Arabidopsis thaliana: one gene and its partner. The protein of the gene in region 1 interacts with the protein of each later gene in a pairwise test. Each region holds a gene or a part of one and is shown on either strand. Other genes may lie near its edges. The genes, in order: LOS4 and IPK1.

Region 1 (6,497 bases):
TTTCTTGTTCAGTTTTACCATGTTATACCTTTTCGATATCTCTGATTTACCAGTCTTTACTTATTTTACAGTGCAGAATTATCCGTACAACTGAGCTCGCAACTGCGCAAGAAAAGCTTAATGAGCTTGAGAGGCAAAAAGAAGAGATCCTCAAATTCTACTCCCCTGGTTCTCTTCTTCATAAACTTCAAGGTAACAATTTACCATTGCAATGGATTCTCCCCTCGTCTCATTTTCTCTACTGTTCTAAACACCTTTTACTTGTTTTGCAGAGGCTATGAATCAGGTGGATGAAGAATCCGAAGCCCTGCAAGAAAAGTTCCTAGAGAAGGAGATTGATACAGCAGCATTTGTGCAGAAATACAAGAAGCTTCGTACTACCTATCATCGACGAGCATTGATCCATCTTGCCGCTAAAACGTCAAACATTTGAGATTAAAAAGCTTTACACATTGAATTCGAGACTTTGGTTGTGTATTATGACTCTTACCCATTGTTGTAAAAAAAATGCTTTGCTGTTTACTGTTTAGGTTCATACTAAAGTGATTGACATTGACATAAAAAATGTTTTCCTTTTCCCTTAACAAAAAATCTACAAAGTCTGAAACTCTCAGCAATCAGATAAAAAGATTACAAGAAAACCTCAAAGAGGTATACAAGTTTCTTTCTTAAAACAATCTCAAGAAAACAGACGACATAGTCTTTTAAGATGGTTTGAACACATGCTGTCTCTCTTCCTCACTCGTCCAGCAGGCCAGCTTCCTTTAATGCACTCTTATACTCTTCCTCTGAGTTCCACGACTTGATCTGCAGCAAAGTTTAAAATCGTTGGATACTGTTTTAACAAACACTTGAAAGATATATAGCAGTTTTCAGAAATCTTATAATACCTCCTTAACATTTGCTTCAAAATACTTCTCGATCTTCTCCATCACCTCTTTATCCCAGCCATCATCAAGCAGCAAGTTGAAAACCGCTCCTACAATACAAATACATAGTTCAGAAACTGATAAGAACTTATGGAAACACTTGAGAAAGAAAAAAAGAAGAATCAAAACTCACCTTTGCGACCAAACCGGCCAGCTCTCCCAACCCTGTGAAGGTACACCTCATAATCTGGCTCTCCAGTTTCATATTTAGTGGGAAGATTATAATTGACAACCAAATTCACCTGCAAGTATTGTATATAACCAACAAGAGGTATTAACTACGAAGCATCTTTGAGGTAAAACGAGAAGAAAGGAAAAGGCTCAAAGGACAATATTTACCCGCTGTTGGTCAAAACCTCTTGCAATGACATCGGTAGCAATGAGCACTTGAGTAAGGCATTCTTTAAACTCTTTAACTATCTTATCCCTGTCCGATTCAGTCAGATTACCATGGACACTGGTAACGTCATATCCCATTTCCGCAAGGGCTTTGTGCACCTTTTGAGCAGACGCTTTTGTTTTCACAAAGATAATGGTTTGCCCAATATCCCCAAGCTCCATAATCTGATCCTTGATGACTTCGATCTTGTTTTGCTCCTTCGGGCAAACAACTTTATACTGCTTCACCGAGTCCAAAGCCAGATCCTCTCTTTTGACAAACAATTGGTTGGGATCTTTGACTGTCCGCGCAACAAAATCTTTGACAGTTTCGTTAAAAGTTGCCGAGAAAAGAAGAACCTGTTGAAAATAGGTCAAGAACACAAGCACACAATCAAATCTAGCACGAGAAAGAAAGAAAAAGAGTTTCCTTTGAATTGAGATTAACAGCCATAAATATAGTGAAACACAAGCAGTCATTAGTACAGCTTTCTGCAGTGAAGATATTCATAATCATTTTAGCACAGACATATATGTCATCTTAAGATATGACGGCTCTAAACAACAGAAAAAAACACAGCTGAGGTGCTTCTATTTACTAAGAGCTTCTGAACATTGAAACAAGTATAACTATAAGCTCAGTAGACTATCTTGTGCCCCCTAGATATCACGATAGATATGCCACTAGATATCAACTGTCATCCTACTTATAATTCAAGAAGCATGACCAAATCAGACACTAGTTAAACAGACCTGGAAATTGGGATTAACTCTCCCAATGTCTTTCATTATCTTCAAGGAATCATCCCTAAACCCATCCTGCAACAGCAATGAATTAACAATTATCAACAACATATGAAGGGAAAATATAATCACATTATACAGAAGTTAAATCATTACAGTTGAGAAAATAACAAGACCAAGTAAAACAGAAGAAAGAGCATACCGTAGCAAGCATATGGTCAGCCTCATCAAAAACCAGAATCTTCAAATGATTTAGACCTAGTCTCTTAAATGCCATCCATTTCTTAAGCGTTCCAGGGGTGCCAATCACAACATGAGCAGAAACAGGAGCTCCTCTTGTTGCCGCCGGTGCACCTCTCGTTGAGTCAGGCACAGCCAACTCAGCAGTGATCCCAGTAAACTTCCCCATCTTCTGAAGAACTTCCATATTCTGTCATTCAACCATTAAAAGAAGTCAACAATCAGATTACTCTCAGATCATAACCAAAATCAGAGTAACTAAACAAACCTGATTAGCTAATTCTCTAGTGGGACAAATACAGAGAGCTTGAGGCTCTCTCAATGTGGGATCAACACGACTCAACATTCCAAGAACGAAACAAGTCGTCTTTCCAGATCCGTTATGAGCCTGGGCAATCAGATGCTTGTGTGGCGGCGTCATTATCATAGGCAAACTAATAGCTTGGATCTTGCTAGGCTTTTCGAATTTCATCTCAACGTACAAGCCTTTCATCAATTCAGGTGACAAGTTCAAGTCTTCAAATCTACTTGCTGATGTATATGGTGTGTCACCAGAAGTAACCTTCAAAAAACACCAGATTTCAAAATCAACCAAACGAATCTGGAAAATCTAATAACCCTAGACTGTAATTAGGATCAAAGAGAGAGAGGGAATTGAAGTAATACAGCTTTGATGTTAGAATCTTCAGGTTCCTCAAGAATAGAATCAGGTTTCTCTTCTTCCTTAATGCTCAATGAATTAAGCTCCGATACAGCTTCTTCTTCATCATCATCATCTTCAACATCGCCCCACTTTTTCTTCTCCGTCGTGGGCTCAGTCTTCTCGGCGCTATTAGATGCTTCAACGGTGGATGATGAAGATGACTCAACAACGGTGGGAACTTTCTCTACCGTATCCGCCATAGCTGTAGCCAACAAAAAACCAATCAAATTAGAAACCCAAATTCATCTTAACTTCTCCATTGATTCGTGAAAGAGCTGAGATTCTGAGAGAAGTAGAACCTTTGAAATTCGCGAATGAGAGAATCAGAGAGAGAGAAGGAAGACGATGAACGATTTGTGTTATGTTTGAAGTCGGAGACAATTTTGGGGAAAAAGTGAAAACCCCAAATAAATAAGAGTTGCTGCTTTACTTTGAAGCTACTAGTCAAGGATTGTAAAAATCACTGACGTTAATTTCAAGCTGCTAGTAAAAATGGAAATTTACTGATGTTAATTTATAAGCTACACGTGATTAAACCGACTCTAGTCTATGTTGTTTTTGTTTATAATTCGGTTTATCTTTCTGTTTTCTCTAATTTCAATTCGGTTCGACGTAAGAATATGAAGCTTAATAGTAAAAATGTAAAATAATTGAACTTAATTTCATGCTAGCCACAATTGAAATAACATAACCGACTCTACCAATGATTTTTTAATAGTTCGGTTTATTCTAGACGACCCAACTAAATCATTTTGGGCTTTAATTTATGTATAAACAAAACAATATGGCCCAACAGTCCAAATTTGTTACAAAAGAAGCCATTTTCTACTAATTTGGGTCTTGTACCAAGTAGAGATTTTTACTTCCATGGTGGTGATATGGCCCAAACTCTTGTTTTTTCCTTGTAATATTCTTCATAAGTTTTTTTAAAAAGCTTATGACTTTTCTATGTACAAGAAAGGAAATAAACCATGATGGCTTAAGCACAATAGAAGAAAGAAGAAAGGAAAAGAAAAAACCATGATGGTTTAACCACAATCTTTGAGGTGGATGCCACATTACCCAATACATTATTACAAGAACAACAACTAAAAGTTGGTGGAGCTCACACTTTGATTTCCTCAAACATATCATCTCTTATCAAGAAAACTGTATCCTATCAGAATTTTATATTCATGCCTCCAACGGTTCAACAGAAACCAAAATTAGATTATTGAAGTATTGAGCAATCAATCAATCAAGATTAGATGATTTCCCCAATACCCATATTTTTATTGATAGAGCTACCCTTCAAACCAAAGCCTCCACGCGTGGCCCGAATTGAAATTTCGCGATATGACGGAAGTTTATGTTCGAGGATGCAAAGATATTACTGATCATGGTCCCATGATCAATGACCAAAGAGACTGACCTCATAAACAATTTCCACCTACTCTATTGCACTAGCAAATGCGTTTTCTTTATCTTAAACATAAGCATGGGGAGAATGATTATATTTTGTATAACATGCATCATCTTCTTAAGTCTCCATTTTCTCACCACTACTCTCTATTTCTTTCTCTCTGCTTCTCTCTCTTCTCTATTTGTCCTAACGACCTGATTGCATTAGACAGGAACGAAAAGGAATGCAAAAGATGAGAGTTTCGGGGTTTAGAGTTCTTCTCTTGGTTTCTTGTTTCTTCTGCAAATCCAAAGGAGCTGTTGTTCCTGCACTCATCATGTTTGGCGACTCCATTGTTGACGTTGGCAACAACAATAACTTACTCAGCATTGTCAAATCCAACTTTCTTCCTTACGGTAGAGACTTCATCGACCAAAGACCCACCGGAAGATTCTGCAACGGAAAACTCGCTGTAGATTTCTCAGGTAAAGTCTTTCTCACAAAACCACATATATCTATCTCTCCATCAAGTATTACCTTCAAATACTTTTTCTCTCTTCCTAATCTAATTGGTTTTTTAATCTGCCTACTTGTGTCTAGCCGAGTACCTTGGTTTCTCTTCATACCCACCTGCATTCCTAAGCCGGGAAGCAAGCAACGAGAATATCCTGATCGGTGCCAACTTTGCATCAGCTTCTTCAGGATACTATGATGCCACATCTGTTCCATTTGTAAAGGAGACAACACAGTCAAACATCATTACACACATACCCAAGAAATGATCCATAAGGTTTTACTCTTCCTTTTGCAGGGCTCGATCTCCTTAACACGACAGCTGAGCTATTACAGGGCGTATCAAAATAGAGTAACGAGAATGATCGGGAGGGGGAACGCGCGCATACTGTTCTCTAGAGGTATCCACATTTTGAGTGCGGGATCTAGCGACTTTCTTCAGAATTATTACATCAATCCTCTACTCAACATCCTAAATACACCTGATCAGTTCGCTGACATTCTCCTGAGATCCTTCTCAGAATTCATCCAGGTACTTCTAAGTTTAGTAACGAACTTGTAGAACTCGATATTCATAATAAGGCAACCATATGAATGTGCAAATTTACAAGAAACACAAAAAAATCGTATCAGTTATTTACCCTTTTTTGTGTGAACAAGAATCATACTGTCACTTGTAACAGAATCTGTATGAACTAGGAGCAAGGAGAATCGGAGTGATATCGCTACCGCCGATGGGTTGCCTGCCTGCAGCTATCACTCTTTTCGGTGCAGGAAACAAAAGTTGTGTTGAGAGACTGAACAATGATGCTATCATGTTCAATACTAAACTTGAGAACACAACCCGGTTACTGATGAATAGACACTCAGGCCTCAGACTCGTCGCCTTTAATGTCTACCAACCTTTCCTGGACATCATCACCAACCCAACTGACAATGGTACACACCTGCAAAATCTAAATCCTCATTCAACTTTAGACCATGATAGAGTGAGCTATTCACAGGAAGAAGAACTCAGATATTTAATCTAGTTAGCAACTAACAAGATACCATTAACATCTTATTAAATGTCTAAACTACATGTATTCTAGGATTCTTTGAAACAAAAAGGGCATGCTGCGGAACAGGGACAATAGAAACATCGTTCCTTTGCAATTCTCTATCCTTCGGAACGTGTGTAAATGCCACAGGATATGTGTTTTGGGATGGATTTCATCCCACAGAGGCTGTAAACGAGCTGTTGGCTGGTCAACTACTGGGTCAAGGGATTTCTCTAATCAATTGAATTGAGCTTCATTCCAGTTGGATTGAATTCAAACTGTATACCTACAAATAGCTACCAAAGTTTGTCTCTCTCTCTCTATCTCTCTCTCTTCTCTCTTTCTCTTTCTCTCTCTATATATGTAACTCACAAATAAGAGACAGATTGTGTGTGCGTGTGTGTGACTGAATGTAGAAACTACCAATCTGGTCTGTGTCACTGTGTGATGGCCTGATGGGTCTATAGGTCCAAGATTTGTTTGAGAAGATCACAATCTTTGGTATTTTATTTTTGTTCCGAATCTACCTCTTTAACATTTCTAAGGTTGATTACAGCAAGAATTTTGGT
Region 2 (6,520 bases), on another chromosome or scaffold:
TTGGTGCTTGTCGTCACGGTGACCGGTGCTCACGGCTTCATAACCGTCCCACCATCTCGCCGACGCTTCTCCTCTCGAACATGTACCAGAGACCTGACATGATAACTCCAGGTGTGGATCCTCAGGGACAGCCGTTAGACCCGAGTAAGATCCAAGACCACTTTGAGGATTTCTACGAAGATATTTTCGAAGAACTCAACAAGTTTGGTGAAGTGGAGAGTCTCAATGTTTGTGACAATCTTGCTGATCATATGATTGGGAATGTGTATGTTCTGTTTAAGGAGGAGGATCACGCAGCTGCTGCGTTGCAGGCTTTGCAGGGGAGATTTTATTCCGGTCGTCCTATCATTGCTGATTTCTCTCCTGTGACGGATTTTAGGGAAGCTACTTGTAGGCAGTATGAAGAAAACAGCTGTAACCGTGGTGGGTACTGTAATTTCATGCATGTGAAGCAGATTTCGAGGGAGCTTAGGAGGAAATTGTTTGGGAGGTATCGTCGTTCATACCGTCGGGGAAGCAGAAGTCGAAGCAGGAGTATAAGCCCTCGACGTAAGAGAGAGCATTCGCGAGAGCGAGAGAGAGGGGACGTTAGGGACCGTGACCGGCATGGAAATGGGAAAAGGAGCAGTGATAGATCAGAGAGGCATGATCGGGATGGTGGTGGAAGGAGGAGACATGGAAGCCCGAAACGGAGCAGAAGCCCACGAAATGTGAGAGAAGGAAGCGAGGAAAGGAGGGCGAGAATTGAGCAATGGAACCGAGAACGTGATGAGGGAGTTTAAGGGTATCGTTTGGGCTGATTACTTCATAAAAATCGGTAAAATCTTGTAATGGATATTCATTTGGTGTTCTTTTTTTGAACTTGAAAAATGAGTGGCATGAACTCCTTAGATGATGTAAGGTGTTTACTGTATTTTGTAGAATTTTTGTTTAGAAACTAGTTCGTGAGGCAAATGATGGGTTCAGTTTTTCTAAGTTAATGTGGTAATGATCCCTTGGTTATTGTTCTTTATGATTGTCCCTTGCAATGTCTTCTTATAAGGTTTAAACACTTTGTATTGTTCGGGGAAAGAGATAAATGTTGTACGATTTTTTTGGGTGGATTGAATGAAGAAACCGAACCCAACCCAAATATTAACCCAAATATTATAAATACCCGAATGGGTGCTATGAGCCTAAACCCAAAAAACCCGAAGCGTATCGGAGCGTGTATTCGAATGCCAAGCCCTAGTCAGTTTTATTATTGTTAGTGTCCACTTTTCATGTTTAATGGATTTTGTTCTCGATAACTCAAAAAGTTATTATTTACAAGTGTGGTATCAGAGCATGGTTCATGATGCTACGGGAAACCATTTTCAATGTTTTATTAAGTAAATGTGTCGCAAAAGATGTTAGGAATTGGTTCAATCACTTGCTAAAACTTAAGTAGATGGGATTATATGACTTATCCTTTTTGTTGTGTTGTAGTATGCCGCCAAAGAGATCTCATGGTTGTGATTCAGTGGGAGAGGAGGGACGGTCCATGGGTCTGCCACCCCAAAGATACTATCTTTTGTGAGAGAGTGGGGAGACAGTATATCGGAAAACCGCTGACAAAATTTTCCATAGAAGGAGCAACAACAGTGGCTAAGCTCCACCATCTTTGTATGTACAAGCAATTCTGGCAAAACTTGACAGAGAGCATTCTGGAACAGTAAAATATCTCCAGGCAACGGCTCCATGCCGAGAGAAGACCAGGGAGAGAAAGAGATATAGAGTGAAGGAGATATAGTTCCAACAAATTTTAAGTTTAAGAAATGAACATTCATCTTTTAGGGCTTTCTTTATTATGTTCTACAACAACAGTAACCAAAAAAAAGAGAGCTAGTGGTATTGAGACGATACATGACTTAGCTGTGGGAAGGTTTTGAGTTGCCGATTTGTTCTGCCGTGTTTTCGGCTTTCTGCTTCCGATTGTAAAAGCTAATTATCTTCTTATCCAATTTGTAGTATGACTCCATTCTCTTAAGTGGTTTCAGGCTTAGATCAATGAAATGTACCTACAGTTACATAAATCAAATATCAAACAAATATAACAAAATGAAGAAACCGATTATATGGTTCCTGAGAACTCAACGTTTTCTAAGGAAATTTCTGTTCTTATAATGATTCGCGGATCCCACATTTTATTTTTAGAGAATTGTACCAATGATCTCAGCAAATATTATTAATAGTTCTTTCACCATATAAGACAAGAATGTGTTAAAATGGATCATACCTTGTAATCAAACGTTTGATTGGTCGGTTTTAGAGAGACGTAATCACCCGAGGGTTCTGAATCCCAAGCATTCCTTGATTGAAAACTGATCATAATACTACAGTCTTTGGCAGTTGCAGCTATCAAATACTCCTTCACAATCTTCAAGCTTTCATCTAAAGGTAAAGCATGTAGAGACAATTCCGCCTCCAGTGGCTTACCTTCTTTACATATAGGACAAGGCTGGTTGATTAAATCGTAATACGAATGAATCGCTCCTTCAATGTCTAATTTGTCTAGCTTCTGAATTTCAAGAAGTCTATCAAGAACTCCTGAGCCATAGACAGCGTCAGATACTAGTTGTAGAAAGCACTCTGTCCTATGACCGTCTTCTGATTGAATGAAGCCTTTGAGAGCATCCTCAAAGGCATACCCGATTTCGGGGCTGGTTCTCCCGGTGCTTTCACCTGAACCCCCTAATATGAGAGAACCATTCAAGAATACGCGGAAATTGTTTTGAGGAGTGGAATATAAAGCTTTTATAGCTTCCAAAACACTCTCTTTTGATCCAGAGAAGAGATCAAGAGGATCGTACTCGCTTTCTTCAGATATCTGTAGAATGGTGACATACTTATTAGACATTTCAGCAAATCACAATCTATAGACCATTAAGATTTTATACTAACAATGACTTGCTTTTACCTCGTTATATTCCAACTTTAAGAGTTGATGCATTTTGAAACGGCTTACGCTTGTTTTGAGCATGTTTTCTTTACCTATGAACCTTGAGGTTGGAAGAAATCCGCATTTGGGCTACTTCATGGAATTAAGGACAGTGAGTTTAGGTCAAGCATGATAAAGAGAAAACTAAAACAACCCAGAGGATTTATCAAACCTTTATTTCAACACTAATGCAATCACCACCGCTAGAAATACCTGACACAGATAACACCATATAGTTACGACTAATTTTTATGATCATGAAAAAAGTCCGATTTCTTATAATAATAGGTTACCTTGAGAAAAAAGTGAATGATCATTCAATATAAGGGCAGAATCATGACTCGTATCAACATTTGCTGCATTAACACGCCATAGCGGACGCTGCTTAGTTACTTTCTTATCAACACACTCAAGAAACTCCTTGGACACAGAAACACGTACCTACAATACTCTAATCATCAGCTTACCAAGAAGCCATAAGTATCTAAATAAAACCAACAAAGACCATTTGATAATATTACTTACTCCAGCATCAACATGTTTAGGACCCAAGAGTGGGATGATCACATTCTTAACATATCTTTGTTCAAGAACTTCCTTGTTTGGTGATGAAATCAGCTCATTGTTTTCTCTCCATAGATGTTGCTCATCGCTTGTTAAAACCGAAACAACACCATTCGCATTCTTGATTGCTTTATCATTCCTCCGAGCCTTCTGTATACGAATCACTTTCCCAACCTAATCAAAGTTCAGAGATAATGTAAAAGATTGGTCAAACTTAAACAAACCAAATCCAATTCTGTACAAAACATTTTACTGTTGAACATTGTGTTAACTCTTTAGACACTAATCAATCTGAGAAGATAAGAATTATACCAACACTGATTCTGATTCTGATTCTTCATAGAAGAAGAGAGCCACTAAAAAAGAATCTATATCCAAGTTTCTAACTAGAGAATCTAAACCAAACTTTTATAAAGCTAAAAAGTCAATGACGGCGAGAATCTGAACTACTTTTTTTCAAAGTTCATCAGACTTGCTTTAACTTTTACAGGATTCAAAAGGAAGAGAGATCGAAGAAGAAGAGACTAACAAAAAGTGGAGAAGATCCAGCGTAAGCAAGAACGAGATTGGCACCACCTTCGCCTCTGTAAATCCAATCTGATGCATCTTTCTCCTCCAAAATCATCTCCATGCGATACAAAATTCTTCGATTTTTAAAATCGAAATCAAGCGAAGATCTGATCAAATCAATTCACCAGAATTTTGCTAACGCAATGCAATTGAATAGAGAACGAAGATTTCTAGTGGTTGAAGAAGAAGAAGGAGAGCTTTGAAGTATTCTTCTCTCTCTGCGTCGAGCTCAAACGTGGTGGTGGACTACACCAAAGACGCTTGGCTTACTTTGTCTCTCTGTTTGGAGGAGAGTCAAAATTAAGCTGACCTCTTCTCTGACGTCTTACGATACAACAAATTGAAAATACAAGAGTTATATTGATTCTGTGTTTTAGAATCCACGTGGACGAGGTAACCACCACGTGTTATTTCTTACTTTATGAGATTAAGTGATTCACTGTCCTTCTAATTTTATTTTATTTTCTTTGCGAAAACTGGAAATAAATAAATTTTTGAAAACAATATTTTAACATATCAATTATTTTTATAATAATTCGTGAAATAATAATGAAAAAGCTGACATGGGACACAATTGGATAATTACATCTTTTAAAGTTTTAGTTTATGTATTTTATGTAAATGCTTATAATATTTAGATTGCAATAAATCTAGAAGTCATATTTATAAATTAATATGTTTTATAATTTTACAATTTTGTAATAAGAAACTCCTAATTCATAAATCTAAAATATAAACATATTTTTCATTTAAGCTTTTCCAAGATTTATAATTATTTTAGGTGTCTGATTTTTAGATTTCAATTAAAATTAAAATATTACTTAAGTAAAATGTATTTCTGTATATATTCTATCAAAATGTTAATTTGTTTAGACAAATTTTGATTTATTTCGTAAAAGTGGGTGGGGAACAAAAACAAAAACAAACTGAACTGAAGTCACCCACACGTCTCACCAAACAAATCGAAGTCAACGTATTTCACCCACCGGTACAACAACAAAATACACACCTAAGGAAATAATAAAATCAACTTACCAGATTGTTACGTACCACACATCTCTTTAGTCCTTCGTCAACCAACGTTCCCCACGTGCTTCTCCGGTTGGTACTCACGTGACCGGCAGCTTCTCGTTCTTATTATCTGTTTTCTTCAATAACGATTCATAATCTCTAGTGTCTTATTTATAATGTCTTCACATCACAAAGATTTGTACCGAACATACATAGTTGAATCTTTCCCAAAGCACAATCTATCATATAACCACAAAAATGGTTAGTCAGAAAGAGACCGTGTGTGTAACCGGCGCTTCGGGTTTCATCGGTTCATGGCTAGTGATGCGATTACTAGAACGTGGTTACTTTGTTCGTGCCACCGTTCGAGATCCCGGTACATATCTATATGTTCTTACAAACTCATTTCTCCTAAGATTATGTATATTAATATAACGTTTATTTACGGGTTTTTTTGGATTGTCAAGGTAATTTGAAGAAAGTACAACATCTTCTTGATTTGCCAAACGCCAAGACGCTACTCACTTTATGGAAGGCTGATTTATCTGAGGAAGGAAGCTACGATGATGCCATAAACGGATGTGACGGTGTTTTCCACGTGGCAACACCCATGGATTTTGAATCAAAAGATCCTGAGGTGAGTTTCTCTATATTAGGAAACTTCTTTTGGTTTTTGCGTCAACCTAGCTTAACTTGACTTTTGTATTTGCGAATCAGAACGAAGTGATAAAGCCGACAGTGAATGGAATGTTGGGGATAATGAAAGCATGTGTTAAGGCAAAGACCGTACGAAGATTCGTATTTACTTCATCTGCCGGAACCGTTAATGTAGAAGAACATCAGAAGAATGTCTATGATGAAAATGATTGGAGTGATCTTGAGTTTATCATGTCCAAAAAGATGACAGGATGGGTAAGAATATACATATTAATTAAACTCAAGTTACGGTTTTTTGAAGTAATTTAAAGTTCATATATATTTGTGTGGCAGATGTATTTCGTGTCAAAAACGTTAGCGGAGAAAGCAGCGTGGGATTTCGCCGAAGAGAAAGGATTAGATTTCATTAGTATTATTCCAACATTGGTGGTCGGTCCATTCATCACAACGTCTATGCCGCCTAGCCTTATCACCGCGCTCTCTCCTATCACTCGTACGTGTGTGTGCTTCTTCTTTTGTTGGAAATGTGAAAATGTTAAATCTAAAACGTTGAATATATTATAATGTTTTAGGGAACGAGGCGCATTACTCGATCATAAGACAAGGACAGTATGTGCATTTGGACGACTTATGCAACGCTCATATCTTCTTATACGAACAAGCAGCCGCCAAGGGACGTTATATTTGTTCCTCTCATGATGCAACCATTCTTACTATCTCCAAATTTCTCAGGCCAAAATACCCCGAATATAACGTACC

The links.
Region 2: the proteins of LOS4 (region 1) and IPK1 interact in a protein complementation assay, tested with the Arabidopsis thaliana proteins (one study listed by BioGRID).

What each region holds. Positions count from the first base shown.
Region 1 is NC_003074.8:19,684,665-19,691,161, reverse strand, and holds LOS4 (P-loop containing nucleoside triphosphate hydrolases superfamily protein), read right to left. Parts: upstream 3,423-6,497; 5' UTR 3,294-3,422; intron 3,197-3,293; 5' UTR 3,195-3,196; coding exon 2,958-3,194; intron 2,854-2,957; coding exon 2,560-2,853; intron 2,482-2,559; coding exon 2,254-2,481; intron 2,127-2,253; coding exon 2,061-2,126; intron 1,668-2,060; coding exon 1,269-1,667; intron 1,172-1,268; coding exon 1,063-1,171; intron 980-1,062; coding exon 891-979; intron 808-890; coding exon 739-807; 3' UTR 501-738; downstream 1-500. Other genes in the region: VPS37-1 (Modifier of rudimentary (Mod(r)) protein), read left to right, coding at 72-192, 273-433; AT3G53100 (GDSL-like Lipase/Acylhydrolase superfamily protein), read left to right, coding at 4,620-4,860, 4,976-5,106, 5,187-5,420, 5,572-5,827, 5,980-6,173. UniProt on the Arabidopsis thaliana protein: ATP-dependent RNA helicase essential for mRNA export from the nucleus. Plays an important role in the positive regulation of CBF/DREB transcription factors.
Region 2 is NC_003076.8:17,164,707-17,171,226, reverse strand, and holds IPK1 (inositol-pentakisphosphate 2-kinase 1), read right to left. Parts: upstream 4,526-6,520; 5' UTR 4,155-4,525; coding exon 4,053-4,154; intron 3,698-4,052; coding exon 3,485-3,697; intron 3,401-3,484; coding exon 3,253-3,400; intron 3,173-3,252; coding exon 3,132-3,172; intron 3,050-3,131; coding exon 2,939-3,049; intron 2,849-2,938; coding exon 2,258-2,848; intron 2,040-2,257; coding exon 1,890-2,039; 3' UTR 1,768-1,889; downstream 1-1,767. Other genes in the region: U2AF35B (Zinc finger C-x8-C-x5-C-x3-H type family protein), read left to right, coding at 1-782; DFR (dihydroflavonol 4-reductase), read left to right, coding at 5,363-5,480, 5,572-5,741, 5,822-6,016, 6,095-6,254, 6,334-6,520. UniProt on the Arabidopsis thaliana protein: Phosphorylates Ins(1,3,4,5,6)P5 at position 2 to form Ins(1,2,3,4,5,6)P6 (InsP6 or phytate). Phytate is a regulator of intracellular signaling, a highly abundant animal antinutrient, and a phosphate store in plant seeds.